Linked DNA regions of Mus musculus. The protein of the gene in region 2 binds, or shares a complex with, the protein of the main gene of each other region. Links are inferred from orthologs where the notes say so. Each region holds a gene or a part of one and is shown on either strand. Other genes may lie near its edges.

Region 1 (4,676 bases), on a different chromosome or scaffold from region 2:
GTATACATATAAATTGGAGCATAGCATAACTGTCTTCTGAGAGGCTTCTAGAAAGAGATGGAAAGACCCGCAGCCAAACATTAGGCAAAAGTTGGGGAAAGTGGGGGGAGGAAGGATTGAAGGAGCTAGAGGGGTCAAGGACACCACAAGAAAACCCACAGAATCCACTAACCTGGGCTCATAGGGGCTCACAGAGACTGAACTGAAAACCAGGGAGCCTGCATGGGACTGACCTAGACCCTCTGCATATATGTTATAGCTGTGTAGCTTCGTGTTCTTGGGGACTCTTAACAATGGGAGCGGGGGCTGTCTCTGACTCTTTTCCCTGCCTTTGGGACCCTTCTCTCCTTATCCAGCCTTGATATGAGAGAAAGTACCTAATCTTATTCTAATTTGTTATGCCATACTCAGTTGCTATCCCTGGGAGGCCTGTCCTTTTCCGAAGAGAAACAGAGGAGGCATGGATAGGCGGTGGGAAGGGGTGGTGAGGAGAGGAGGGTGAGGAACTGCAGTCAGATTGTAGTATATGAGAGAATCTATAAACATTTTTTAAAAGAGAAGGCTTGTGGTGGAATCATGAAGCTTAGTGTTCAGACGCCTTTTTTTCTCTGAGACAGCATCTCCTTATATATTCAGGCAGGCTGCAACCATGCAGCTTCAATACCTTTAGTGCTGGGGTCACAGGCATATGCCACCACGACCAGCTGACAAAAATACTGTCTTACAGAACAAGCAGGCTGGGGTGCAGCTCACTGGTAAGGTGTGTCTAGTAGAATGTGCTTAGACCATTGATAGAGTTAATATGCTTTTTTCCTTCCTCAATTGGTAAACAGAAAAAAGTTCAACAACAGCATAATTAATGAAATTTAAATTTTTACAAAAAGTCTTGGATGAAAATTGAATTTGCAGATCTTAATTAAAATAAACCTGGATCCTCTTATATACATTAACATATTATTTTCCTTCCTTTTCCTTCCTTTTCAAAATCATGAGCAAGTACAGTGAATATGTACTAAAGCCTACAAAAGCATTCTATAGACTGCAAAATTTGGTTTCAGATATTTAAAATCAGAATACTTTCGGTTGCTTAACAACAAGTGTCTGGAACCTAAAACATGCACGATGACAGAAGTCAAGCTGTACCTGTAGTAGTCACTGGAGTGGAAAGTTCAATACTCAAACATGTAATTCTACCCTACTACGTATGGCATCTACTTTCCTATTACAGTACCCAAATACTCTATAGTCATGCCTGGGATTTTTGGTTGGTTGGTTTTGCTTGCTGTGTTTCTCTATATAGCCTAAGTGTCTTGGAACTATGTACACCAGGTCAGCAGAGGCCTCCAGAGTGCTGGGATTAAAGGTATGCCCCACCACACCTAGGTAGTCTCACCTGCATGCGTATCCATGATCTGAAATGTATAGGAACACATGTTTGTTAGGTTTCAGAGGGCTTGGGGTTTTGGTTTTGGTTTTTTGGTTTGTTTTTGGTTTTTGGTTTTTGTTTTTTTGTATTTTTAGCATGGATGTCCCTAGTATGAAAATCCAAATCCAAAATACTCTCAAATCAGTGATGCTCAGACTGTAGAGATGTGTAGTTTTTAGAGGGAGAGAAAAATCTCATTTTTCTGTATGTGTGTCCATGATAAGCATGTACAGGTATGTGTTATATACAGGTGTGTGGTGCCTGTGTGTGACAGCAAGTTTGGGTGCAGATATTCACCTTTGGGTGTCATTTCTCAGGAGCCATACTGTTTATTAAGATGGAATCTCTCACAAAGACCTGGGTCTTGCTGATCAGGCTAAGCTAGGCGAGTGAACTCCAAAAATCTACCAATCTCTGCTACCCCAATGCTGCAAGTCTATGCCAAGATGCATACCTTTTTTGGGTGCTAAGGACTAAACGCAGGTCCTCACGGAACAACTGAGTTATCGCCCCAGCAATAACAGCACAATTTTGATATACATGCTTATGTTTTATTCATTTCCTCCCATTGGTGTCACATGTTTACCCTGATATACACAATGGCTTTTTAATACCAACCAACAAGGTAAGGTAATTCTTAGCCCTCTGCTCTCTGGGCAATGTGCCACAGCTCTTCTGATGAGAGCTAACTTCCCCTCACTGCTGCAGAGTGCCAGGCTTGATTGCACTTGCTCTCCGGGTAGCATTAAGGGACATTTAGAAATTAGGCAGGCTTATCTTTGGATCCTTATTACACCTTTTTCTAAAAACATGAACTCAGGGCTGGGCATGATGGCTTACATCTGTTAACTCCAGCACCTGTGCTAGTCAATGAAGCAGGAAGATTGTCAGTCAGTCTGAGGACAGTCTGGGCTATGTAGTGAATTCCATGCCAACTCTACAGAGTGAGGTCCTACGAAGGAAGCGAGAGAGAAGCGAAGGAGAGAGGGGGAAGGGAGGAAAGAAGGGAGAAAGGAAAGAAACAAACAATAAAAAATGAAAAATTACAGCCAATATAGAATTTCCATTATTAACTCTTAAGTAGATGTACCTGACAGAAACTTGTATATGGCTCACAATGATGTCGGAGTTGTGAGATGTTTTCTTCAAGTTGAGTCCTTGGCTCCTCCACATATTTAGATTGACCCTCAGGAACTGAGTAGAGTGAAAGCTACACATATTAAAACAAAAAGAAAAGCATATACCATGAGATCATGTAACATAGGAGCAGTTTTGTAGGTTAATACGTCTATAATAATTTATAAATTACAGTTACCCTAAGGGCTGCAACCTCTAACTTTACTTCAGATGGCCTTTGTACCTTACTTCCTCAATAAAGACAAAGACAAGAGGGCAGGACTGCAAGGCGCTCTGTCTTCTCCCTACCTACTCTACCATTTTGTCTTGGTAGTGTGGGGTATTAAACCTATGCAAGGCAAGCCCTCTATCAGTCTACAGGAGTGATATTTTACCTTAAACTTAAAGTGGAAAAAATTCTGCTATTCTAATGAGTGAAAGGAGGAGTTTGGTGGGGGGTTACATTTTCGGGGAGGGTATGTGTCATGGTGCACATGTGGCAGTCTGAGGACAACTTACAAGAGTCAGTTTTCTCCTGCCATATGGGTCCTAGGGATCAAACTAAGTCATCAGGCTTGGCAGCAAGTGCCTTTATCCACTGAGCCATTTTACCAGCTCATAGGTTTTGTTTTGCATTTGGTTGGTGGTGGTGAGGTTTTTTTAAGAAAAAAAAAGGCTGAGAGAACTGAAGAATAACTGGTTATATGGCAAATATCAGGCTGCTACTGATCAAAGCAGGTGAGCAAACTCATTGCCCACCTAGAAAAGAGCCTTCTCAGTAGCCACCATTAGCCACCTCTTCCCCGTTAACAGTACTAAGGCCTGAGAGGAGAGGAAAGAGAAGCTAACTAACTAGCTTTATAGAACACTATTCAAGTAATCTCGCCTGGCCACCAGGGACTTCAGTACATCCCTTTATTCCAAGGTAACAGACATGGACCAAAGTAGAAATTCCAAATAGTTACTGGGAAATACAGACAATAAAGAATATAAACAATGCAGAGAAGATATCTTATTTATTTCGTTGATCTAGTATGTACTAAATATTTAGTTAAGCATCTCTAATTTTGCCAAGAACCAGAAAGAATCTAAGCCTTTAAATTCTTTGAAAGAAAAAAAAGTGAATATTTTGGATCAGCAGTCCAGAATCAGGCAGGCCACGCCAAAAAGTGAGTTGTACAGAGACCCACAACTGGACAATGTATAAAGAGTGAGAGCTTTTGGAACAGTCAACCCTAAATGGGATGTCTTCACCAAACCCCTCCCCTCAGGGCTAAGGGGGCTACACAGAAGAGGAGCACTGTAAGACCCAGAGAGAGTGGAGGACTCCAAGAAAATCGTGTCCTCCAGACCCAACAGGACTGAAGCACATATGAACTCAGCATACACAGGGCCTGTATGGGTTTAAGCTAGACAGAGCCTCAGTGCTCAGAAAAGGAATTAGACACAGGCTCCTGTCCCTAATCAAGATGCTATCTCCAAATGACATCCTCTTGCAAAGGAAAAACTAGTTCTCACCAATGAAGTCTCACTGAGTGTATTAAACACACTTAGGAGCAGGCCTCGTGCCCAGCAGTAGGTGGTCAATACAAACGTACTCAATGGTAATTCTGTAGACTTTCTGTCTCATACTGATTGCTTTGGTTTTTTTGTCTTACTAATCTTCTGTTTGTATATTATGTTTTCAGATTTTGTTTTGAGAGAGACAGACACACACACACACACACACACACAGTGTTTCTCATGGTTTTTCTTTTTCTTATGGTTTGGGATTTTTCTTTGCCTATTTGTTTTCTAGAGAGATACAGACAGAAGTATGGAATTGGGGAGACAGAAAGGATCTGGGAGGAGTTGGGGGAAGGAAAATCATGATCAGAATATATTGCATAAAAATAATAGAAAATAAGTACTTACTAGGAAAAGTGATTTGTGCTTTCTAGCAATTTCCCACGGAGAAAACAAACTATCAGAAAATGTATAGGTAGGTCTTCTTTTTAAATATTTTCTAAGTGTGCCAAGGAAATACATTACTATTCAGTATCTCAAAGAGTAAAAAAAATAAAACTACAAGTCTTATCATCTTGATATATAATTTATAAAAACTCTCCCTAACTAAGTCAGATGTTTATAGTGT
Region 2 (4,676 bases):
CCTTCCTTCCTTCCTTCCTTCCTTCCTTCCTTCCTTCCTTCCTTCCTTCCTTCCTTCCTCAATCAGGACAATGCTTCCCAGGCTTGACTGCAGGCCTATCAGATGAGAGAATGTTCTCAGTGGAGGTTTGTTCCTAGATAACTCTAGCTTGGGTCAAGCTGACAGAAAACACAGCTAAGTTCGGACATAGAAACCGACAGAGGTCTCTTGTTCCGAAGCCCGAATTGGCTCATGTTCCATGACCTGAGGATATTCATGTGTTACACTCACTTCAAAACTCTTTAATAAAGGTAGTTACAATTATAAGGAGCCTTTATATTTTTTTCTTTTTCTCCACAGAGAAGAGTTAGAGAAGATGAAAACTATAATTGAAGATGCAAAGAAAAGAGAGATTGCTGGAGCCACCCCTCATATAACTGCTGCAGAGGGGAGACTTCACAACATGATAGTTGATCTGGATAACGTCGTCAAAAAGGTATGTTTCTTTAGTCTTTGTAATGTTTTATAGTTTAAAGTATCTGTTAAAGCATTTTTAAGAATTCAGGAAAATGACTCTTACTATCTCTTTTAAGTTTTTATTGTAGAGTGTTCATTATAAAGTATGGGGCTGGGGAGAAGGATCAGCACTAAGAGCACTGAAGAGGCCCTGAGTTCAGTTCCCAGCAACCACATGGCAGTTCACAGCCATCTGTAATAGACTGTGATGCCTTCTTCTGTCATGCAGGCATACATGCAAATAGAACACTCATATACATAAATAAATACGTCTTAAAAGTTTCATTTTTAACTACTTTTAAAATTTGTGTCAGATGGCTGGTAGCAGCATAAGGGCACTTGCCTCTAAGTATGATGATCTGAATTGGATTTTAGGGGCTCAGTTATTGAAAGGAGAGAACTGATTCTCTCAAGATGTCCCCTGATGTCTACTCACATACTGTGCTGTATGAACACACACACACAAACACAGGTATAACACGCTTTCACAAAACAAGTTGTATTAAAAAGACAAGTTAGTTTGTATTTTCTGATCTTCAGGTTCTGTGTATTGCTTGTAACCCCCAGCTAGACTGGTTTCTTAAGAGTGTAGATGGTGTCTTTTGTTCCATTTAGCCAGAGACCCCTTGTATCTGCTTAGGTCCAGGCTGCTCAGTCAGAGGCAAAGGTGGTATCTCAGTATCATGAACTTGTGGTCCAAGCAAGAGATGACTTTAGAAAAGAGCTGGACAGTATCACTCCAGACATCACTCCTGGATGGAAAGGGATGAGTAAGTACAACTGATTGCCATTTTCTTTCTGTATTTTAGCATCTAATCAACTAATCTAAACCTGCTTCAACTCCAGTCTTTAAATCCCAGTGCTTCTATGTCCCAATCAGTGCATAGGTGTTATTTTCTCTCTGTCACACACAGCAGGTAGAATACATTATTCCTGAAGTTCTAATCATGGTGAGCAGAAGTTCCTCTAGTGCTTAATTCTATGATTCATGATTTGATTCTGATTTGCTACTCAAAAATTAAAAGTGGAGTCTGAGTGATTTTTATTTTTATTTATTTATTTATTTTGGTTTTTCGAGACAAGGTTTCTCTGTATAGCCCTGGCTGTCCTGGAACTCACTCTGTAGACCAGGCTGGCCTTCGAACTCAGAAATCCACCTGCTTCTGCCTCCCAAGTGCTAGGATTAAAGGCGTGTGCCACCACGCCTGGCTGAGTTCGAGTGATTTAAAGTGATGTCTTAACATTAACTCTGTTAAGATACGTATGTTTATATACTTATTCAAATCATTTAGTATTTAAAAATCTTTGGAATGGATTAGTGAAGGCACACTTGAGAATTCTGTTAGTGACCCCAGTTCTTCCAGTTGTTCTCAAGTTCATCACTGTTCTGTTTCAGCCTCCCAAGTACTGGGGATTACAGGCATTCACTGCTGTGCCCACACTAGCTGGAAAACCCATTCTTGTGAGATTATGAAATTGAATAAAAGTAGTGGTATGATGCCTAAGGGCAGAGAAGTTGGTTAAAAGGTGGTTATAGAGCCAGGCATGATTGTGTAGACCTTTAGTCTGAGTCCTTGGGAGGCAGCAAGCAGGAGGATCCAGCCTGGGTTGAATCTAGTCTGGTCCACATAGTGAGTTCTAAAACAGCTTAGGGTTACATACTGAAATCTTGTCTCAGAAGCGTAAAGTTAAGATGCTACAGTCACCTGAGGGTGAAGTGACAGAGCCGTCTAGTGTGTATACCCAGAACATTGATAAGAGTAGGAAGATACCAGGGGCCACTTGTTTAGCAATTGGTTTGGAGATGTGTATCCTCCTAACCCAGCATTTCAGCTCCTGTGTATTTGCTTAAGGAAACTCCCAATGTACATTAAGGCATTATTGTAGTAAGAGCACAGAATTTGAGCGTAGAGGCGTAATTTAGTGCTCAAAGAGTATCTAGCATGCAAGAGGCCCTGAGTTGGAGCCTCAGCATTAAAAAAAGGTAAAAAGAGCCTGGTCTAGTAGCACATGCCTTTAATCCTACCATTTGTGAGGCAGAAGAGGTGTGGATCTCTGTGAGCTTGAAGCCAGCTTGGTCTATATCTCAATCAAGCTCCAGGACAGCTATGTAGTAAGACCTTGACTCAAAAAAAAAAAAAAAAAAAGGGAGAAAAGTGGCAAGAGGATTAGGCTAGAGGGTCTTGCTCATTGTCGAGCACTTGGCTAGTATGTACAAGCCCTGAGTTCAGTCCCCAGCACCAACAAACAAAAAAGAAAATAAACTTTGAAATAGTCAAATGTGCCTTATGTGTATCAGTGCAAGTGACCTGGTATTGTCTCTCTCCAAAGAGAAGACTTGGTGGTATGGATACCTGCTGCCAAAACTGGTGACCTGTGTTCTATCCTCAGGACCCACATGGAGGAAGGAGAGAACAGATTCTCAAAAATTGTTCTCTGACCTCCACACAGTTGCCATGGTATACCCAATCCAAATAAATAAATATATGTAATCCTTTTTTAAAAATTATTTAAAAATACAGAATAGGTTGGTGCTATTGTGAAGTTTAAGAACCTATAAACTAAACAGTTATTTAAGGATATATCTTTATATCAAGTATAAAAGTGAGCTTGGGGTCTAGAGAGATAGTTCAGTACTTAAGAATACTTACTGTCTTTCTGAGGACCAAGGTTTGGTTCCTAGTACTCACAGAGTAGCTGTTGTGAGCAACTCCAGTTTCAGGGGATCTAGTGCCCTCTTCTGGCTCCTACAGGCTCTTGCATGCACATAGTGCTTATAAACTTGTGCAGGCACACATATATTATACATAAAAGTAAACAGTATTTTTGAAAAGTGCTGTGGACTGATAACCCAAAGCATGTCTCCTTTGTTGCTTATGTACTATAGCACATACTATTATGTTTATGTGCCCTGTTAATGATCTTTTACATTGTCTCAACTTTGTTTTTCCTTTGACATAGAAGCAGATTCTTTTAATGAAAAATTCCTTGAATTTAACCCAAGAGGTCCTTTTTTCTTTTTTAAAGATTTATTTATTATATGTAAGTACACTGTAGATGTCTTCAGACACTCCAGAAGAGGGCGCCAGATCCCGTTACGGATGGTTGTGAGCCACCATTTGGTTGCTGGGATTTGAACTCAGGACCTTCAGAAGAACAGTCGGTGCTCTTAACCGCTGAGCCATCTCTCTAGCTCCCTAAACCAAGAGGTTCTTAACAAGCTTCATACTAAAGACAGATCTGCCTGTACAGGCCTATACACCCATGTGTTTGAGGATGCTGAGGCAAGAGGATTGCAAATTTCTGGGCTACAGTGTAGATCTGTTTCAGAATTAAAAAGTAAAATTTGATTGGAGACATAGCTTATGTTCTACCTCCAGAATTGCCAGGGGGGAAAACAGAGGCAAGTCACTGAGGTTGGCAGCTGTCTACTCTCTTGTCACGGGTTCGTTGGGGTTTGTAATCATGATAAGGAATATCATTTAAACTTCAACAGTCAGAGTTTTTGATTTAATTTTACACAGGTTAAATGTAAATTTAATATTAAGTTCACTGTAGTGCTTATTTAAGAAGCTTACTGTGATACACTCCCAGCTTTCAGGAGAAAAAATAACAGAAAGGTAACAGAATCTGAAAAGACTTTGTTCCAAAATTGCCTCTAAAGAAAAATGTTAATTCTAGAAGTATTTGACAGTTGGAAGTAGCCTGCCACTGGAAACTAGTACTAGGATGGAGAAATATTCTGTAAATTAGTTCAGTTGACAGTAATCAAAGAATTGTGTCTCCTAGTAAAGTTTTTAGTTGATGTGCAGATGAGACAGTGACAGACCCCTTCTAACTAGAGCAGTCCTTGTTGTTGGTGATTCTCCTCTTGGAATATTTAACTTCCCTTAGAAATGCTGTCTCTAGCTGAGCCTGGTGGTGCACGCCTTTAATCCCAGCACTCGGGAGGCAGAGGCAGGCGGATTTCTGAGTTCGAGGCCAGCCTGGTCTACAAAGTGAGTTCCAGGATAGCCAGGGCTACACAGAGAAACCCTGTCTCGAAAAACCAAAATAAAAAAAGAAAAAGAAAAAGAACTGCTGTCTCTGACTCTGTAAATATAGGAACTAAACATTTTGCTTTCTAGAAACCTCTTTTCTTGGTCTTTCTGGATGTTGCTATTTAATGATGGCTAACCAAA
Region 3 (5,462 bases), on a different chromosome or scaffold from region 2:
GTGAGAAAGACAACATATGACAGCTGACAAGGGGTTTCCACAGAGGGACTTTTTCTTAGCAAAAGGAAAGGAGCAAAAGATCCATGTCTTAGCCAAATGTCACTGCTAGAGAAGCCTCCAATTTCCTTCTACTGCACAGTAGCTGACTAACACTGTGTGCTACAACATCTCCAAAAGCAGCAGAGTGGGATTACCACAGAGTACCACAGTCCACAGTCCAGCGCTATGGGGCACCAAACCACCACAGACCACCAAGGCTGAGGGGATAACCAAGAGACAGACATCTTTCAGCTTGTGGCCAACGCCTCAACTCACAACGACTCTGGAGCTCCGGTGACTTAGACCAATATTGGACTCTGGTTTGTGCTGACCTTCTGGATGGACAGCTCTCATGATTGCTGTTGGTGCTCCTGGGCACAACTGATAGTTTGCAGGAGCTGCTGTAGAAGCAACTCAGAGCCAGGACTTGGCATTAAAACTGCAAAATATTTAATCTTCAAACAGCTGGTGAAAGTACAATGGATACCAGGATATACAGAAGACAGCAGCTTAAGGTAATAAGCCTTTCGGAGGTCAATAAGCAAATTCTAAGATGCTGGGTTGGGGTGGTTTGAGAACTGACCTGGGATCAAAACCAGAAGTGACAACACTTCATCAAGGGTGGCCCAGAATCGGGAATCTGGAATAAACTTTAGCCCTAAAGTCAGTTTCCTTAGGAAATCTAAACAATTATTTGGAGAAATCGCCTAGACCATGCATCTCACCTTGCTAATAGCACTTGAGCAGCCACTGTCTCGAGTTGTATCCTCCGCCATGAGCACAATTGGAAATATATGCCAACCAGACGTACAGGGGGCTACCCCTTTCAGTTTTCCAATGATGATAGATAGGCAGTAGCCGTGTACACTATGGCTCTAATCAGAAAAAAGAGAGAGCCTACAACAGATAATTTGTCAAGCAGATAGACACCAGGCACCTTCAGATTCTCCTTTAACACATGCCATGGTCAGATAGAGTCTCTGACAGAAACAGTTCTCCAAACCAGGAGAGGTTGTGTGACAGTAAGGGAGACTTGTTGCTTCTGTACTAACAAATCAAACATTATCATTTAAGAAAAAAAAAACTTTACAAAAATTATTTTAAATCAAAAACATGAATGAAATAATTTCTGGTACCAGAAAACTATTAAAACCCATGGCTCACAATACTTTTCATTGTTTTGCCTGGTCCCTTACTCCCCCTTATTATGAGACTTGCTATAGAGCCTTATATAATAAATGGTCTTTTAAAGTTCATCAGATAGAAAATTTCCTCAGTTAGGCTAATGATACTCAGGAACTAGTATTTATCACTTGGTCAAGATCAAAAATTTAACAATAACTTTAAAATAAAAATTGGGAAATGAAATGACTAAGGTGACACCATCCTCTTCTGACTCCATTTTATGTTCGATTAAATAATTCTCAGCCCTTTATCTGATTCCCCCAGTGGTCACATATGCCTTGGCAACACATGTGAGACTTCCACAGCTTTGACCATTGGCCAGATGTATTAGCCAAAATAATTGGCAAGTTATATCTAAAGTAACTACTATGTTCTACCAGGGATAAATGTTTCATGGCTACTCTGACCTTCATCTAACTTTGATGCATCTTTCTGGGTTTTGATTTCAAAACTGTGTATTTCTGAACTTGGGGACCAAGAAACTTTTCAGAACCACAGCCCTGCTCGTGATTTGGCCACCAAGAAAGGACTTAAAAGTTTTAATTAATTAATCAAAAACTTTCTCATGTGGATCAGTACAGTTGTCAAGGACACACACTTAGAAGAGCCATTCTGTGTTTACCAAAAGAAGCAAGCATCTCCTACCAATGGCCTACACACCACACCCTACCCAATACAAAATTGTAAACTATTTAAACATTGTAAAAATATTATTTGGGGCTTTTTTTTTTTTTTTTTTTTTGGTAACTTGATTGTGATTCTCCAGGATAAACTTTGTAGAGGTCAGGTGGGGTTGCATTATCAAAAGGTTGGTCAGACGTGCATGCTAGAAATTAAATAAGAATGGGCAAGGGCACTTTAGGAATTGCAGAAAGAGCAGGTAAATGGGGCATGAAGAGATAAAGTAGGAAGTTAAGTACACAGGAGAGGGTTCTTGGGTGACAGGAGAGGAAGCTGGAGTGCAGAGGCTAGGTGAAGTGTTGTTATCTAGAAGGGTAACCTGACCCCTGAGAGCTGATAATGGAGTGCCTATAAAGGCTTTAAAGTAGCAGGGCAGAGTCTCATTTTGATATAAGTACTATGGCAGCACAGGAGAAAATGGATTCCATCAGAGCAATGGAGTGGGTAGAGTCCAGTTAAGAGAATGGTCCGTAGTTTGAAAGAAAGTATGAGGTCCCAAACTAGAGAAATGCAGTGAAGAATGGGAAATATTAAAAGTCAATGTCCTCTGATTGAATTAATAACAATCTTATAGCCTTCAAGCCTAACAGAGTCATTACATACCTTTAAAAAAAAATACATGCGTTAAGTATTTGTAAACTGATGTTGAAACCCGAGTCGGCTGACTTGTTTCCTTTACCCCCGATTTCTACACAAAAGCACCTTTTCTCATAAAACTCCAAAGAAACTGGTTATTCGACGGGGAATAACACTATGTATAATCCCACTCACAACACAGATTCTGAGAAATCTCTACTTTTGTCTGTTTTGCCCACAGCTAATTTTTGAAGGAAGTCTTATGTCCCGGTCTGGGAGCCCCGCCCTGCACACCAAGACAGCGCCAAACTTTTGTTTTGTTTTGTTTCCTTTTGTTTTGTTTTCCTTCTCCAGAGAGGCGAGTGGCCAGGCCTTCCTCATCACTCACTCAGCGGGTTGCGGGACTAAAGCCCCGCGGTGTAAACAGTTACCCGCAGGGATTAAGGAGAAGGCGAGGGAGGTTTGTTGAGACTGCAAAGATTAAAGACTCCGATCCTCATAGTCTCATCTCCAGGTCGCCACTTGCTGAGGGGCTCCCTCCATGAGTTACGATAGACGGTCCCTTCTATAATTATTGTAATGCTTGGGCTCAGAGCGAGCGGGGAGTGGAAAACTAAGTTTCTTTTCACTTACCCTAAAGGCCGCCATACCTATGACCCTCTCGGCTCAAGTTTTCAGACGGAGAGCGCAGAGGGACAAAGCAGTTCACTTTGCCTTGCGTCACCATAGCCCCGCCCCTTTACGCTAGGAGCCCGCTGGCCCTGCCCTTTCCCCGCCCTCCTGCCATTGCTTTTGTAGGCGCCAAAGTCAATTGGTTAGCACTTCTTCAGAGCAAAGGGCCTATCTTTGCGGTTGACATTCCAGTCCTCATACATCTAACCTCTAAGAATAGTCTCCACACTCCAATTAGAAATTGTTTTCTTGGGTGAATGACTGGGTGTTTACGGGATTTGTCTAGATAAGAACTTAAAACTCAACTGCCTTAATAAACAACCATATAGTCTGTCACAAGAGCAGGTCACCACTGCAATCCTTGAGGCAATTCAATTACATTCATTCTAGAACTGTCACTAAACACCAATTCTGTCAGGAAGTTGCTCACAGTACACTACAAAACCTACATACAGCACCAAGAGAAAATGACAAAAAAATTTTAGAAAGGCCTCAACACTATTCAAGAAAACAGAACCTTGACAAGACGGTTCAGCTTGTAAGAAGTACTTACTGGCTGACAAGCCGGATGGCCTAAATTTCACACACACACACACACACACACACACACACACACACACACAGAGAGAGAGAGAGAGAGAGAGAGAGAGAGAGAGAGAGTAAATAAAATGTATTAAAAGTGTAAAAGTAGAAGCTATCTGTTGAGAAGGAATGGAGTTTTCTAGTTCATACAGATAGAAGGCGCTGATAGGGTGATTTGAAGAAAGTCATGAGGAATATAGGCAAGTGGTCTATGCAAAAGTAATATCAGGAACAGAGAGTGGTAGGTCCCAACAATGAAAAAACAAACATACCACAACAGGGGCTCTCTGTGTCACTATAACTAGTGTGGATTGTTTGCTTTTGTTTTGTTTTATCCTTTTTTTTTTTAGTTGCCTGTTTGTATTCCAAAGATGAAGGCATGGAGTCGGGGTCAGAGGTGGCAGAATCTGGGAGGACATGAGGGAGGGAAAACTGTGATCAGAATATATTATATGGAAATTCCTAATTAAAAAAGAATAAAAAGAAATGTAATTGGAAGGCTTTTAGCATTGGTGTGACTTGATCTAAAATACATTATAAAATGATGATTATGATGTTCCCAGGAGACTAGATTGTGAGGAGGTATATTATTCTCTGTAAGGGTACAGGCTCCCTGAGGCCTCTGTGAATAATTCGGAGACAAAGAGTGTCCATTTATGTTCCCATTAACTTCACAGTATTAGGTAACTGCATTCACTTATTCATTTAATAAATATTTAAGTGTAAACTATATACTAAGCATTAGTGGTATACTAAACATATTTGATACTTAAGGCAGGTTCATTTTTAATGAATATATAATGAAATATATTATTAAGTTATTAAATAAATAACAATGGTCATGAATAAAAGACTAAAAGTTTTTAATATTTTTTTACACTTAAAGTACAGCATACATGTTTCTAATAAAATATCGATATGAAATATAATATTAAATCAAGTAAATTCTATTATATAAACTATAAATAAAATAGTGAAAAATATTTAAATTTTTCATGAATTTATTTTCCTGATAAGAATAAAGCTATTTATACAATTTCAGTTTCTGGTTTTGAGGTTTAACATTTTTAATTACATTATCGAAATCTAATATTTGTGAATATTCAACAGGTGCTTTGAGGAGGTTTTAAGTGATTCTATTTGTTCATTGTTAATTGACATGCACTTGTCAATAATTTTAATACTAATAAAATTTTCACAATTAACAGTAAAGATGCAATTTGGGATAACTGTGAATAAGCATATATAGAAGAGAGAAATTCTTTTTGCTCAAAACTTCAGGAATTAAGGTAGGATCCATGTCTCTGCTTCTTTAGAATCAATTATTAAGTTATTAAAGGTTTCCATAATTGATCATTTTAATTTTAATTTTTTTATCACAGTTGGTAACAACTTCGGATTTTATTTTCTTTTTTAAAAAAATGAGTGAGGAGTCTGGGCAGGAGAGCCTGTGGGCTGCAGATGCAACATAGCTTCTGGAACAGGGCTCTTTCTGGGCCTTCATCTTCACCCAGGAAGCAGATCTGAGCTCCAGACCTCTATGCACTTTCCCTGCCAGAGGAGAGGTGGCCTCCAGGGAGGGCTCTGACCATCTTCTATCCCGGGTTCCTCAAGACCAGTCTGCACAGGAGAGCACACAGGCTGCAGAAGCAACATAGCTTCTGGGACAGGGCACCTTTCAGGCCTTCATCTTCAGTCAGGAGACAGAGCTGAGCTCCAGACCTCTG
Region 4 (5,330 bases), on a different chromosome or scaffold from region 2:
TAAGACATGTCACCAGCTTTTCTGGACTTAGTGTGATCCCATAAGCTCAATGCTATATGCCTTCACAGACCAGGGTGAGCCTGACAGTCCTGTGTCCATCCAGCCACCCAGCCTCTGGGAACACCGTTAAGAGTAATGGGCTGTTTCCTAAAGTGGCTTATATCCTGTTGGATGTGGTCACATAACAATCTGCAGAACTCCATGTGGCAGAGGCTAGGCCTGGAGTCCTCACACCTTGGCCACTGTTCTCCATGACTCCAGCCCCTTCTGGGCATGGCTGCCAGTCACAGACTTCTGATATACTAATAGAGACTTTCAGGACTCAGACAGCTGGTGCAGCATGGGACAGGAATGCTGGGGCAGGGTCCCTAGGAAAAGGGACCTTCAGGGGGCAAGGCTGGGAGTCCTGAGTGGCTGTGACTAGTTTGGGCAATGGGGCTGTCAAAAAGAACTGGTCCACTGCAAGTGAAGCCCCTATTAAGGGCCCCAAGTCCAGGCTCCCCGCACCACAGTACCTACTCCATTGTACAGGCTGGAAGAATGGTTCCATGGCTAGTTCAGATCCTAGCACCCATGATGGAGAGCTCACAACAGACAGTGCCAGTGTGTATATACAAGCACACCCACACAAGCACTAAGTTAAGAAAATGCCTCCGTCAGATTGGACTGTGGGACACTTTCTTGATTGATGACTATGGGTAGGTGGTCCTGGGTGTTATTAGAAAGCAGGCTGAGCAAACCATGGAGAACAAGCCTATAAACTAATTTTCCATGGCCTCTACTTCAGTCCTGCCTCCAGATTCCTGCCCTAACTTCCCTTAGTGATGGAGAATGACCTGAGAGTAACAAGCTGAAATAAACCCTTTCCTATCCAAGCTACTTCTGGTCATGGTTTTTATCACACAAAATTTTTAAAAGTTAAAACAAAAAACTAAAACTAAAATCTTTCTGGGCTCCAAACATTACATCTGGAACATAGAGATCCCTGTTAGCCAGGACTCTGCCCATAAAGCAAAGGCTCTACATCCCCCCCCCACCAGAAAACCGGCTGGGGACCATTCCCAAGTCCTTTATTGGGCCAGCAATGCTGGAAGCTGCCCTCAGAGTGAGGTCCCCACTGGGATGTCTCTGCCATCCTGGTCTTGACCCCCATAATGCTGGGGCAGGTGGCATCCATTACTTGCTGTGTTCCTTGAGGTACTCCCAGCCCTCCTTGGAGTATTCTCGGGCCTTGGAGGGGGCCACCGACAAGGCTGACATGACTGAGATGATGCCTGCAGAGACAGCACACAGGTGCCATAAGGTCCCCACCTTGCCAGAGCCACTCAGCCAGCCAACCCCTGGGGAGTGCAAGAGCAGTACATGGAGGAGGAATGGGACTAGCCTTTCCTGATGGACAAGTTCCAGTGTGGATCTAAACCACAACCCCTTCCCTATGCTCTGTTTTAAAAGGTTTCATCTCACTAATATATTCCAAGGTTATCCTCAAACTCTCAGTCCTTCTGCCTCAGCTCTTCCCAGTGCTGAGATTATAGGTGTGTATAACAATATCCAGCTTTTCTTTGTGGAGACAAGGTCTCATATATCCCATATGGCCTGGAATTCCCTATGTAGTCAAAGATGACCCTGAAATCCTTCATTCTCTTGCCTGCACTGAGTGCTGAGATGACAGACCTACAAACACCATGCCTGATTTATGGGGTGCTGACGACAGGACCCAGAGCTTTATGCATGCTAGGAAAGATCTTTACCACTGATCTACAACCCCAACCCCTTAGGGTTTTTTTAAGTATTTTGTTTTTCCTATTTTTGAGAAAGGATGTCCCTGTGTAGTCCTGGCTATAGATCAAGCTGGCCTTGAAACTACAATTTTCCTGCCTCGGCCTCCCAAATACTAAAGTCACAATCATGGGCCACCATACCCAGTCCTTTCTACTTAGTTCCATAGGTGATATACAGGCACACAAACAGGAAAACATGGAGGAGTAGAAAGGGTCAATGAGGTAAACAGGGCTGGGAGAGAGGCTGGGGTGCCCAGGCATCCCCCCAAGCAGGGGCATAGGGGCCTACCTGAGTTCCAGGAATCACGGAAGTTTGGAAATTTAATCTTTGGAGGGGTTGGGAGCTGGGAAGAAAGAGGAACACGGGCTGACACGGGAAACAGGTCACAGCCTTGTCTCCCAAACCCAGAAACACAAAACTCCACCAAGCAGGGGTGGAGGAGGCCCCAAGGACACCCAGAAGCAACCTGTAGGCCACCCACTCCCAGCCAAGGTACCTGTGGCATCTCCAGACCTGTCTGCTGGCACACATATTGGCTGAACTGGTACATTGCTGGTGGCACAACCTCCTCGGCCTTCCGCAGGGCAGCCTCACTCTTGTCACTAGGCCCCAGCAGCTCCTGGTCATAAACAAGGTAGACTGCTCCTCCAGCCACACTTCCCTTAATGAGGAACCTTCAGGAATACATGAAGGGAGACGCTGTGGGGGGCAGGATCTCAGAGATCAGACAGTTGATCATTTTTTGTTGTTGTTGTTTTGTTTTTCGAGACAGGGTTTCTGTGTAGCCCTGGCTGTCCTGGAACTCACTCTGTAGACCTGGCTGGCCTCGAACTCAGAAATCCGACTGCCTCTGCCTCCTAAGTGCTGGGATTAAAGGCGTGTGCCACCACTCCCGGCCAGTTGATCATTTCATTTGCCTTTGTGACACGACTTTTAGCAGTAAACGGAGTCTTAAAGAGAGACAGGGTGGGTCATTCGAAACCCTGCAAAGGATAATGGACACTCAAGATCCCTGGTACAAAACCTTCCAGGGTGTCTGGCGGAGCTTCCCCGCAAGTTACTCAAGTCAGCTACGGAGGGAGATGGGCAGGATTGCCTACGCATCTGAATTGCACCTAAGAGTAAATTGAAGCAGTAGGGTGATAAGGGCTGGCTGAAGCCAGTTTCCCTACACAGACCGTGAGAAAGGTCCGTAACAACCGGAAGTGAGCCGTCGCAGGACCCTAAGCCACGAGGCAGAGATGCCTACAGCCCCGAACTTTCTCAGGGCCTCCACGATTGTCCACGCACCTCATTAGCGACCACACTCGAGCCACCATGGTTAGTCTCTCGCTTCACTCGCCGCGCAAGGACAAGTAATTCGCCCGCCGCTTCCGGTTGGTGTCGCTGCTGAGACTCCTGGGAAATGTAGTGGTCGCTGTCAGCCGCAATGGAGTTAGACTCTTGTAGGTCGAGGTCCGTGGCTGCCGCAATTCTTTCTGGGAAATGTATTAGTTAGGCGGAAGACCAAAGAAGGGCTAGGCCGCGAAGGCTCCTGGGAAATGTAGTCTGGAGGCACGACAGAGACGAGCCCTCGGAAGACACTGGTCGGATTCCCCGCGCCCGCGCGGAGAATTGAGTGTCCCCCAGGTGAAGCAAGCCTAAGTGATGGTTACCACGGCAACGCGAGGGCTGGATTGTTCCAGAGAAGCAGGCCTTTGGTTCACGTGAGCGGTTAGGGGTGTGGCTCTAACCTAGGAAGCTTGGAGAGGCTACAGATGGCCTGTGAGATGGACGCTTGCCAAGGTTGTTGACTTGCCAAGGCCAAGGCGCTGGAGGATCCCTGCCGGGTAGAAGTCTTGGGGTCATGTGAGAACGGGTTGGCGGTGGGTGGTCCGGAGTACAAGGAGCCACACTGGGGTGCGAAGTGCCGCAGGAGGGGTTAGCGGCCAAGTGGACATCATGTAGATCCCTGTTCGGTTGCAAGGTGAGCTTGAGCAGATGTGCACCATGGATGCATGGATGCCTTGTAATTGTCTATGGAGACCTATTGTCCTAATTACTTCTCAGTTGTCCTGACAAAGCACCATGGCCAAGGCAACTCAATAGAAGGAAAAGTTTTCTGCTTCCAGTTTCAGAGGACCATGACCATCGTAACGCGGAGCATGACAGCAGGCAAACCGGGATGGCGCTGGAGCAGCAGCTGAGAGCTTACATTGTGGCTCATAAGCTGAAAGAGACTACAGGGTATTGTGTGGGCTTTTGAAACCTTAAAGTCCACACCACTGTCACCCCTGCCCCAAGAAAACTTATCTCCTAATCCTTGCCAAACAGTTCTACCAAATGGGGACCAAGCATTCAAATACATGAAACTGTAGGGGTCATTCCGATTCAACCATACACAAGACCCCCCCCACACACAACTTTATTTCTTTATTACTTATTTTTGTGTTGGGTTTGGTTTGGTTTGCCTTTGGTTGGTTATTGTTTGCTTGCTTGTTTTGAGGCAAGGTTTGTCTAACAGTCCTGGCTGTCCTGGAACTCACTTTGTGGCCCAGGCTGGCCTCGAACTCACAGCTCTGCCTGCATCTGCCTCTTAAGTGTTGGTATTAAAGTGTGTTCCACCATCACCCAGCTTTGTGGGTTTTTTTCTTTTTTAGACGGGGTCTTATTCTTTGTACGTGATTGGTCTGGAACTCATATGGACCAAAGCTGAATTCTCCTGCCTGGGCCTCCTCATTCCTGCTTTTACAGACATGTCCAGTGTCTATGGTGACATTTTCTCCTTTTCACCCAGAACTAAAATAAACCAACCCTCATGACTAAGAATGGGTGAGAGGAGCCTAGAACATGGCAAGGTAGCATGTGGCATTGCCAGTAGCGCTTAGACAGTGTATCTTTGGACCTAAGATTTGAAAGAAGTAAGTTTTAGGGAAGAGCGTCCAAGCAAGAACTCAGCCAGTGCACAGGCCCAGGACCTGGGACAAAGCTGAGCAGACTGGGCAGTTTGGACTGGCTCCTGGAGGACCCTTTAAGGGGCCCAGGGCTTTGTTTTCCCCCCACTCCCAGAATGACCAGAGTGAGTGGTCTGAGGAAGAAGGAAGGATGTTGGCAGCAGGACATCTTCATTATGTCCCACTAAGGCTCACACACGGAAGGCGAGCCTCCCTGTGTGTGGGTGCAGGGCTGGGATGGGGGTAGGAAGTGAGTGTGAGTGGGAGGGAAGAATGGGAGAACTTGAGAGCACTTTCTTCATCCAACTTCCTTATAACTTGTTCCAGACCTGAGGCTGTTTCTTCCCTGGCTAAATGTCAACAGGAATATACCTTTCAGTGTGTGCTTGTTAACAGAAACTGCAGTGATAGAGATACAGCAAAATACTCTGTGTACCTGCAAATATAGGGGGACATTGGAGGATGGCGCCCTGGGCATCAAGAAATACCTACTCCCCATGGGCCAGAGGCTTGCCTCTTGGATACTAGGCCCCGCCCTTGCCCTTCTTGGTCTCTGCCCTCAGCTCCCACTCAAGTTTAGCCTCCCTCCTGCATTCAAGTCCAGCCCCTGCTGTG
Region 5 (4,676 bases), about 18 Mb from region 2:
CATAGTCAGGGGTAAGTACAGTGCCTGCCCTCTGTGCTCTTTATGCATGGGCTTCCTCATTGTCTTTGAGGAAACGGCCTCTGTATGGTCCCAAGGCCCAGTTTGCTGGGGGGTTTGCCCTCCAGCATGACAACCCTAGGTAAAGACTCATGGTCTCAAACGTTACCCTCCTGTATCCCAGTGGTATCTCCAGGAATGTACAACCTCCACATTCCCTTCAGTAACTTTTAGCAATTTTAAAGTAATACATGCTGATAAAAGATTTTTTAAAACTACATAAAATAAAAACAAATCCCCATAGACTCATTATCTCAGTGCAACTGCTGTGGCTCTTCTGGGTGTCTCTTGCACACAATGTCTTTACCTTAACTTGTTTATATTAACGACCTAGGCATTTTCATATCTTGCTGCTTTACTTTCTATTATAATTACTTTCCATCAGTTACACCTGCTTTCAAGCACGTTTATTGCTAATCAGATAGTTTGTTCATTCTCAGTTTTTAGATTCAACTTGTTACATATAAATTCAAGTTAGCACTGAAGCTGTGGTATAGCTTTTCATGATGCTGTGGCCTTTTCTCTACCATGACCTTGCTGCTTGCTGCTTGTGCTATTTTACTTCTATGAACAACACAGAGGGCATCTTAGTCCTCCTAGCTTTTATCTGCTGTGATACACTAGCAGAATGCCAGGATAGGTCAAAGGTTACGATTGTACTCCAGACAAAGTTAGATGTTTAAACCTCAAAAGTGCTGCTGTCTAAAACCTTCAGGCTCTCAGCCAAACAAGAATGCCATACCCCACCCTGCCTACTTGTTTGAAAGGATGGCTCACATGGGATTCAACCCTGCCAGAACACTCATTCTTTGCCTTTGGCTAGCTCTCCTGTTCCTGATCTGAGTTGTCCTAAATGTCATTGTCCCTTGTCTAGGGGGCTGTCACTGAAGCTTCCACTCAGGTGAAAGAATTGGCTTATGGTTTCCTATTCTGTTCTGGGCAGCCAAGGGCCAGAAACCCCACCCCTGCTTAGACAGGTACAGTGAGCAGGCAGGTCTTTTCCTACCCATGTTCTTCTAGCCATGCCTTCTGCATCAGCTTCTCTCTGTTTCTCTCTGGCCTAGGTTCCAACAGGAGCAGTTGGCAGTCCAGGATGAGATGGTCAGGGTGGCAAAAAAGGAAAAAGAGGCAGCTGAGAAGCACTTGAAGGCATCCCTGCCCAAGAAGAAGGCCAGCCTCACCCATGAGCAACAGCAGTCAGCTCGACTAGTGAGTGTGTCTTTCAGAGCTGGCCTGTCTGCCAGTGTGTGCAGGAATGGGCAGCAGCTGGCTACATCAGCTGTGGCTTTGAGGTGTTTTCCAGGCACTGGCAATTTGGAGTCTTCGGACTCTTGACTAAGTGGTTTGCTTTGCCACCTTGTCAGAGTCCATTCTTGTGGCTTCAGGCCTCTAGAGCCATGGGGGATTGAGAGTCTCATTTGTCATAGCTATCACTGGTGTAAGGGCTGCAGTGCTGTGTGTGTTGGGAGGGTATAGGGTGGGGTTTGGGGGCATGCAGTGTATGATACCAAGAGCATCATTTTCACAGCAAGGCAGCCCAGGTGCAAAGCCTAGCCCTTTGCTTACAGCTTCAGCACATTGAGCCTTGTTGGAAGATCATGATGCTCGCACACAGGATTGCCCCAGGGGTCAGAGATAATAGCTACCCAGGGCTTAGCAGGAGCTGGGAAACAATGAAGGAGTGCTATGACTGCCGCTGCTGTTATTAATGCATCTAATTGATCAGAGCTGTTAGTCAGGATTCTTCAGCTTTAATGCAGAGTTTATTTTACAAGTGAGGTGTCTAGGAGCACCCGGTGGGCCAGTTCAGCAGCTGCTGGCATCATCAGGGATTCGGCACTCCTCCTCCTCACTGTTTCCCCAGTCAACCAGCCACACTCAGGATGACTGTTGCTACAGTTGCTACCTCATGATTACAACAGAAGAGCAGCAGAAGAGAATCTGTGCCAGCCTGTCTGTGTCAGCAAGGACAGGTTTCCCGGCAGCACTGGTCTTCCATTCCATTGGTCTGAATTGTACTGGGCACCCAGGGCTAACATTCAAACACAGAGGGACTAAGGAGACTGTGCTATCTGCAACTAGGATCCTTTCATTGCCACGATTGAGAAGTGGACAGACAGACCCAGGCTGATGGCAAGTGGGGTAGTCTGGCTGTTGGTAGTATCTAATGACAATTGAGTTGGAGACTATGGGTTTCAGACTAGGGGCAGCTTTGCCTCAGTTATTAGGTCAGCAGCCTATGCACACAGAAGACTGCAGAAATTGGGGTGAGATTGTAACTCTGGGATGAGATAAGCTAACAGACCTAATAGTCACACAGCTGTGGGAAGCATACAGTGGGTGAAATGCTCTGGAAGGTATAAGCCCTTAGCTCCTGGCTCTCAGGACTGGGGAGAAGATAGAAGTTTGAAAGAGGCAAGTTGGTTCAAGTCCAGTGTTAAGTGGCAGAGAGGAGTTATTTGGGATTGTTGTGACCTGCTGGTAGGCAGAAATGACATTGACCTTTTCCCTGGAAGATGGGTAGCCACTGGGACTAGGAAGCAGTTAAGACAAATGGTAGGATACAGGATGGAGACAGTCAAAGCTTGAGGTCAGATTATGGAAGGCTTTGGGTGACCTGATGAGCTAACAACAAAGCAACCCTCAATACCTCTAAAACAGTAGAGACATTCTAATAGTTATAAGGATGGGAATGGGCTGTCTGACTTGTGCTTTTACAACAGAATCTGAGCAGTTTTTAGAACAGTTTCCCGAAGAAGAGGGTGTCTGCAGAGAGGCAGGCAGCCTGACAGCCAGTAATACAGAAGATCACTTTACAGAGATATAAGGTTAATCATGGACTGAGCAAGGCAGGTGTCGTTTACTTGGGACAGTTGTAGAGCAGAGCATGCCGCCCGCTTCATTCTCACCTGAAGGTGATAATTACAGTGAAGGGAGTTGACAGCCTCTCTTCCCTCCACCTGCAAAGGAGAAGAGGCCTTCCCTCCTGCCTTTGCTTTCTGGCTGTCTCTAGGGGAAATGTGGGAAGGACTGGGTGCTCCTGGGTGCAGGTGTTGGATTTTTGTGTGCTTGGTAATTAATTGCTACCTTAGAATGAAGCAAATGTGCCCTACCAGCTTTCTCCCAGCTTCCTAGATGGATGCCCTCTGCAAACTATTTCCAGGGAATAGTAGAGCAAGTCCCTTCAAGCTGAAAATATTTTATCTACTTTTGTAAGCACTTCTACTTTTGGCTGCTCAACATGTTTTTCTCCTTATGACTAGAGTTCAGATCTTCTTTCAGGAGCTTTCCTGTCTCCTGTGGTTTCGGTCTCAGTAAGATTCTAATTTCAGTGCCTCTGTGGAAGCTAGATCTGGGCATATGTTCCAAGTTCAGCGAGGGATAGATAGCCAGCCCCTTCCTAGGGACTTTAGTCTGAACTGAGTACAGAGGGAGAGTGGGAGGCCAGGGTGGCAGTTATTTATTGTAGCCTAGGTGGGCTGTGAGGCCCCTTATACTGTTAGGCTATGTCTTTTGCTCTCTTCTACCCCTCTAGGGTACACTTGTTTTCTCTCTGGTCCTCCTGCCATCTTGAAGATCATGTCATTTGCTGAGAGCTATCAGTTCACTGTTTATTGAGTTTGCTGGAGTTGGTTTCTGTAGGCAGTGCTGCAGCAGGTGCACCTCTTATACGAGGACCTGTGGCAAGTGAATCATGGAACTGTCTAGAAGAGATGCTGTAGTAGCTGGTTCTGGAGACCTGCGGCCACCTGTAGGAGAAGGGAACTAAGGCCCCTTTTTGTGTCAGCAGTTAAAGTGGTGGGCAGGTGCTGTTGCCATCAGTGCAAAGGAAGCAGCTTGCTATGGATGGGTAGGGTTGGCAAGTGCTTTCAGTGGAGAGAGTTTTAACTATGGCACATTTAAATGAGAGGAAAAAACATTTAAATGAGAAGAAAAAAGATGGAGAAAAAAACTTGAACTAAGTATGGAGATTTTTTTCCCCTCATGCATGCCTTCTATGCCTCCTGTGTACAAGTGCTGAAAGGCTAGGGATTGATTGGCAGCCTTCAAGGCAGAGCTCTGGTGGCCTGGTAGTCTGGAAATGTGTGTGGATCTGAGGCACACCTAGTGACTGCTGGAGTGAATTGGCTCCCAAGCCTCCTTTGTGCCTCTGTGACTCAGTGTCCCTAAGTCCCACACCCTTGGGTCTGTTGCCCTGTCTGGACTTAATGAGAGGCATCAGGTATTTGATGCGGTCTTCTGCCCTCTCTGTTTCTCTCTCAGTTTTATAGTATTGATTTTTCATCCTCTTCTGCATGAGGGAATGATTGAGTTCATTATTGGGAAAAGTTTCATAAAACTAATGAGAAGGAAAGGTAATACGTTTTATAACTTGATTCTGCTGACAAGTGTTAACATTTCCCATCTAATGCAGCAGTAATGAGCAGTTAGTTCTGTGTGCCACACCTGCTCCTGCCCTTGCAGCTGGGTTCAGACCCAGCTCTATTGTGAATGAAGGCCATGAGTGTTGGTGAGGCCTATGTGAGCTGAGACTTCCCTTGGTGTTTGCAGAGGAAGTCTGGAATTCAAGTCAAACACTCTGGTAGAGACAGGTGAAAGTGAAGTGGTCTGGGGAGCTG
Region 6 (4,676 bases), about 39 Mb from region 2:
CTAGTACCATTGCAGCAGCCTTTCAATGCGCCTTTCGCTCATCTCGCCATGTCTGGTCTCATTTTCCCTCACTGCCTCATTCTGTACATGTGGATGATGGATGTCTCTTCTCACCTGCTCAAAAAAACAAAGATCACTTAACCTATTCTTAAAATTTTGTTTTGATAGCAGGGTGCATCTTGAACTAGTTGTTAAATTTACCATCATGACTTCCCTAGGTGTCAACGCTCTGGGCTGCACATTGATGAAAGAAACCATTTCTATTTTCATCTCAGGTTGTCATAAAACAAGTAAGAGAGTGGGTGTGAGGTGACCTTGAAATCCTAAGGCTTAAGGAGATGAAAGGGTCAATGCTTCATGGTTCTCGGTATCTTAGTGTTGTCCAATTTATGGCAAGACTCTAATCTTTTTGACATTACTTGGTTTCCATTCACTTCCACATAACTTAACCTAGAGTTGTGAAGTGTTAGACACTCTGAACAGACTAGCTGTGAGTAAGGAGAGCCACAGCAGGCTGGAAACTGAGTGGGTCTCTTTGAATTACCAGTTTAATTTCATAGCTTTCCTAAATGATGATCCTGAATTCGGGAAAAACAAAGGCGTACTTAATACTGGAATCATCACATCATGACCCAATTCACTAATAAGAGAAACCAAGGCTCAAGGCCAGAGACCTAAAAGATAGGGCTTGGTTCCAAACCCAGGCCTGCCAGATTCTCCCCTCTACAGTACCATGTGTCATATGTGACCTTGTTGCAATAATCGCTTTTCTTTTATTCCATAAACAGGACACCACAGCACTAAATGTGATTCAACATGACCTCACCAGGCAGAGTGGCCGGAGCCAATGCTCCAAGACCTTCAGTGTTGCCACTTCATCGACAGCAGAAAGCACACTGGAAATAAGACACTTTGTGTCAGACACCACTCCAGAAACACGCACGGTGACACAATCACCTTTCTATCAATGACGCAGTCCAACTCCACAAGTCTTTATTATCACATTAGAAAAATCCACGAGTCAGTCTACAAGTCCCAAGGGCTCAGGTGGTTGCTGTTGAAGGCTGCAGGCTTGCTAAGAGCTCATCAGAGGATTCTGTGACAAACAACACACACTACCCTAACATCAGTAGCTTTACCTCTAGCAAGACCTTTAAAGAACCCTGGCAGATACTCAGCTATACAAGTGTGGCTGCAAGCAAGGGATGAGGCGTGTCAAGAAAACACAGGTTTTTAATCTTGATTACATTTTTTCTACTTAATGTTACTGTTATTTCCAAGATACCCAGACAATAGTACCCTCCCTTCAGATATTTATGCAGTACTGGAGATTTACACTAAGTGGTATTATTATAACAGGAGCAAACTGGGCTGTGGAAAGGCATGCTGTATAACTCAACTGCTAGATTGAGATGGGCGAGGTCAACTCTAGGGAGTTCATCAGCAGAAAGAACTGAGTTTCCAACAACTTGTGTCTCTTCAAATCCCATGTACCCAACTGTAAAGTAATTGTGTGACCTGTTGAGACTGTTAATTTGTTGTTGGGATATCATTAGCTTTCTAAAGCACATAAATTAGAGAAAATATGCATCTTATGAGTGTCATATTATGCAGTCATAAAGGGTCAAGTGAAGCATGCAGAAGGAGGAAAGCCTTTCCTAAGTATGACTCAGGTTCTTTCTCCAGCTTAAATAATAGCCTCTACTAACTGGTGGAGGAATGGTTAGTGTACTGGCTAGTTTTGTGTCAACTTGACACAGCTGGGGTTATCACAGAGAAAGGAGCTTCAGTTGAGGAAATGCCTCCATGAGATCCAGCTGTAAGACATTTTCTCAATTAGTGATCAAGGGGGAAAGGCCCCTTGTGGGTGGGACCATCTCTGGGCTGGTAGTCTTGGGTTCTATAAGAGAGCAGGCTGAGCAAGCCAGGGGAGGCAAGCCAGTAAAGAACATCCCTCCATGGCCTCTGCATCGGCTCCTGCTTTCTGACCTGCTTGAGTTCCAGTCCTGACTTCCTTGTTGATGAACAGCAGTATGGAAGTGTAAGCCGAATAAACCCTTTCCTCCCCAACTTGCTTCTTGGTCATGATGTTTGTGCAGGAATAGAAACCCTGACTAAGACAGTAACAGATGAGTAGATTTCTCTTAATCCTGTGAGACCTCCTACTACTTACGAACTCCTAGTGTGCTTGCTTCTTAGTTTATAGCCTTCATCCATAGTTTGGACAGTGCTGTTTAGGGATGTGAGGTAATGACCATGAGGATAAGACCACTGGGACCATTAGAAAGTGAAAGGTTTAGAGCAATTAAGCATATTTTTAAATATATTTCTGCTCCTGCACATAAATCCAAGGAGAGTTCAGGAGAGCTTGAACCCAGGGCCTTGAGCATGTTAGGCAAGCACCCTACCACTGAGTTGCACATCCATTCCTACTTTTACTTTGAGACACGGTCTCATGACATTGTCCAGATTGTCCTTGAACTCGCTCTGTAGCTGCCCCTGAACTTGAAGTTGCCCTGCCCAGTCTTTTCAGCAGCTGGGATCACGGGCCTAAGCCACTAGGCCTACCTAGAATCTGGACTCTTCTGACAGTGAACTGGATAGAGCTTATGGCCAAAACATGATTTAAGAGATTCTAGATGAGTTGAGAAAGTTTCCCACCCACTGGGATGACTGGGCTTTCTACTTTTCAGGTGCCCCAGTCAGCTTGCACACCCACCTGTTTGGCATGGTTGACACAGTGCATGTATTGGCTAGCCAGAGCAGAGCAGCTGAGAGTCTGCTGGGTGTTCTGACGGTAACACTGGAGGATTTTGGTCTGCAGATCTGCACAGACTGGATGATATTCATACCGCCTGGAAACAAAAAATGAGGATAATTGAGACAAGGCATCCCCATTAATGGTCAAGGTTAAAAGTTATGTAAAACATAAGCCGAGGTCCTACAAATAACACCAGTGCTCTTTTTCTACAGCCTGGTCTGGCAAGTCAGAAATCTGCCAGTCCCAACTTCTTCTGGCATACCCATGGCCAGCAGGCCATGAAGATCTGGTCCTTGCAGTCTAATCTTCCATACTCACCATTATTACAAAAATTCAAAATACTTCCTAGATCCAAGCAATGACCTCTGGTCTGTGTGTCTATAGTCCCAGCCCTCTCCCTGCATCTACAGGTCATCTAGAGAGTTCCTTGTAAATCCATCGATTCAAGTCAGACTCTCTATATTGCTATAAAGTACAAGGGTAGCAGAGATATGATCAGGCTCCTGCCTGCCTTTAGCCCTTGTTGGACCCTGAATATTGCTGCAGCCTGAGTAAATCATACTTAGGGGCCAGTTACGGATCTCACATCTGTGGTCACAAGCTAGAAAATACTTGGCACCCAAATTCCCACCCTTCCCATGTAACTGAAAATCACTACACATCTTTCAAAGCGTAGCTCATATAACCTTCTTTGAACAACTCTCCCTGGTTTTCTCCTCCTTTAAGGTGACCCTGTGCTAGCATTTTGCGCTGCCCATGTCATGGACTATGCAATAATCTAGTGCAATTCACCTGCCTACATTTATTAGAATGTAAATTCCAAGGAATTATGTCTTGTTTTGTGACCTTTACTATTCACCGTGGATAATTTTTATAGAAGTCATACAATAAGCTTCTTGAATGGGGGAAAAAAAAGGGCAAACATCTAAAAATCTTCCAGGTTAAACTTCTGCAGTTGTATTTACAACGCTCAGATTTTAGTAGAATTTCTCTCCATGAGAATGGCATGCCAAACATAAATGTTTCCACACAATTTATAATACACATTTGAAAATAATAAGTCAAATAAATTACACACAGAAAATATTCTTGTTTGTATGGCAGCAGAACTCAAGGTACAAAGACTAACCACAGAGAGAGGAAATATGCAAAACAATCATTAATATATGAATTTGTATATTTAAAAAAATTAGTTTGTTTAATAAAAAAATGCTTCCAATCTTATCAGTTCTGTCTCTGAAATTTAAATTTGGTATTTCCATATAGTCCTGAGGTAGCATTATTTTAAGTTTAATGGGTTCTAAAAACAAAAGCCTCAGAGAACATGGGGGAATATTTCCCATCAATAAGCAGACCCTTGGGTGACAGTTTGTCTCCTCATTACTTAACCCAACACGATAAACTAATATATATTTTGCTGGAGTGGAAATGCAAACCACATGACTGTCCCTGGGGCAATCTTCCCACTACCCCAGAAAGAAAGCAGACATACAGAGAAAAAGATTGATTCTACACAACACTGTTTCTACTTTTTCATTCATTATTTTACTTCTTTGTCTAATACCTGAGAGCAGAATTTAAATCCAATGCCAGGGGTTTCAATTCTTTTAAGCCTTTGACGCTCTGGATGTCTGTGGATTTTTCTGGACCTGAGCTTCCCTAATCCCCAATAAATGAACATCAGCTTCAAAAAGGAGTCAGCTATGCTTTCAGAAACACAGCCCCAGAAAACCACTGACCAACAGACGACAGCAAGACTCGTGTCTGGGTAAATGTTGAATAAAATATGATTAAGCATGAGTGCAGCTGAATGCAACAAATCCATGGCTGATACTGCTAATGATTCACACAGGAGAGCTGAGCTATTGAGCTTCTGTCCCAGTGCCGATAGCTGACCAAGTCTCTATCACATCTA

The links.
Region 1: Immt (region 2) and Apoo share a complex: the UniProt entries of both Homo sapiens proteins name them as parts of the mitochondrial contact site and cristae organizing system (MICOS) complex. The link is inferred for Mus musculus from reciprocal best matches to the Homo sapiens genes IMMT and APOO.
Region 3: Immt (region 2) and Apool share a complex: the UniProt entries of both Homo sapiens proteins name them as parts of the mitochondrial contact site and cristae organizing system (MICOS) complex. The link is inferred for Mus musculus from reciprocal best matches to the Homo sapiens genes IMMT and APOOL.
Region 4: Immt (region 2) and Micos13 share a complex: the UniProt entries of both Homo sapiens proteins name them as parts of the mitochondrial contact site and cristae organizing system (MICOS) complex. The link is inferred for Mus musculus from reciprocal best matches to the Homo sapiens genes IMMT and MICOS13.
Region 5: Immt (region 2) and Chchd6 share a complex: the UniProt entries of both Homo sapiens proteins name them as parts of the mitochondrial contact site and cristae organizing system (MICOS) complex. The link is inferred for Mus musculus from reciprocal best matches to the Homo sapiens genes IMMT and CHCHD6.
Region 6: Immt (region 2) and Chchd3 share a complex: the UniProt entries of both Homo sapiens proteins name them as parts of the mitochondrial contact site and cristae organizing system (MICOS) complex. The link is inferred for Mus musculus from reciprocal best matches to the Homo sapiens genes IMMT and CHCHD3.

What each region holds. Positions count from the first base shown.
Region 1 is NC_000086.7:94,380,071-94,384,746, reverse strand, and holds part of Apoo (MICOS complex subunit Mic26 isoform 1 precursor), read right to left. Parts: intron 2,637-4,676; coding exon 2,517-2,636; intron 1-2,516. UniProt on the Homo sapiens protein: Component of the MICOS complex, a large protein complex of the mitochondrial inner membrane that plays crucial roles in the maintenance of crista junctions, inner membrane architecture, and formation of contact sites to the outer membrane.
Region 2 is NC_000072.6:71,862,006-71,866,681, forward strand, and holds part of Immt (MICOS complex subunit Mic60), read left to right. Parts: intron 1-339; coding exon 340-475; intron 476-1,135; coding exon 1,136-1,265; intron 1,266-4,676. UniProt on the Homo sapiens protein: Component of the MICOS complex, a large protein complex of the mitochondrial inner membrane that plays crucial roles in the maintenance of crista junctions, inner membrane architecture, and formation of contact sites to the outer membrane.
Region 3 is NC_000086.7:112,309,089-112,314,550, reverse strand, and holds the start of Apool (MICOS complex subunit Mic27 isoform 1 precursor), read right to left. Parts: upstream 3,200-5,462; 5' UTR 3,130-3,199; coding exon 3,115-3,129; intron 1-3,114. UniProt on the Homo sapiens protein: Component of the MICOS complex, a large protein complex of the mitochondrial inner membrane that plays crucial roles in the maintenance of crista junctions, inner membrane architecture, and formation of contact sites to the outer membrane.
Region 4 is NC_000083.6:56,606,568-56,611,897, forward strand, and holds Micos13 (MICOS complex subunit MIC13 precursor), read right to left. Parts: upstream 3,205-5,330; 5' UTR 3,102-3,204; coding exon 3,073-3,101; intron 2,457-3,072; coding exon 2,279-2,456; intron 2,126-2,278; coding exon 2,071-2,125; intron 1,275-2,070; coding exon 1,177-1,274; 3' UTR 885-1,176; downstream 1-884. UniProt on the Homo sapiens protein: Component of the MICOS complex, a large protein complex of the mitochondrial inner membrane that plays crucial roles in the maintenance of crista junctions, inner membrane architecture, and formation of contact sites to the outer membrane.
Region 5 is NC_000072.6:89,564,177-89,568,852, reverse strand, and holds part of Chchd6 (MICOS complex subunit Mic25), read left to right. Parts: intron 1-1,121; coding exon 1,122-1,266; intron 1,267-4,676. UniProt on the Homo sapiens protein: Component of the MICOS complex, a large protein complex of the mitochondrial inner membrane that plays crucial roles in the maintenance of crista junctions, inner membrane architecture, and formation of contact sites to the outer membrane.
Region 6 is NC_000072.6:32,801,171-32,805,846, forward strand, and holds part of Chchd3 (MICOS complex subunit Mic19), read right to left. Parts: intron 2,856-4,676; coding exon 2,720-2,855; intron 1-2,719. UniProt on the Homo sapiens protein: Component of the MICOS complex, a large protein complex of the mitochondrial inner membrane that plays crucial roles in the maintenance of crista junctions, inner membrane architecture, and formation of contact sites to the outer membrane.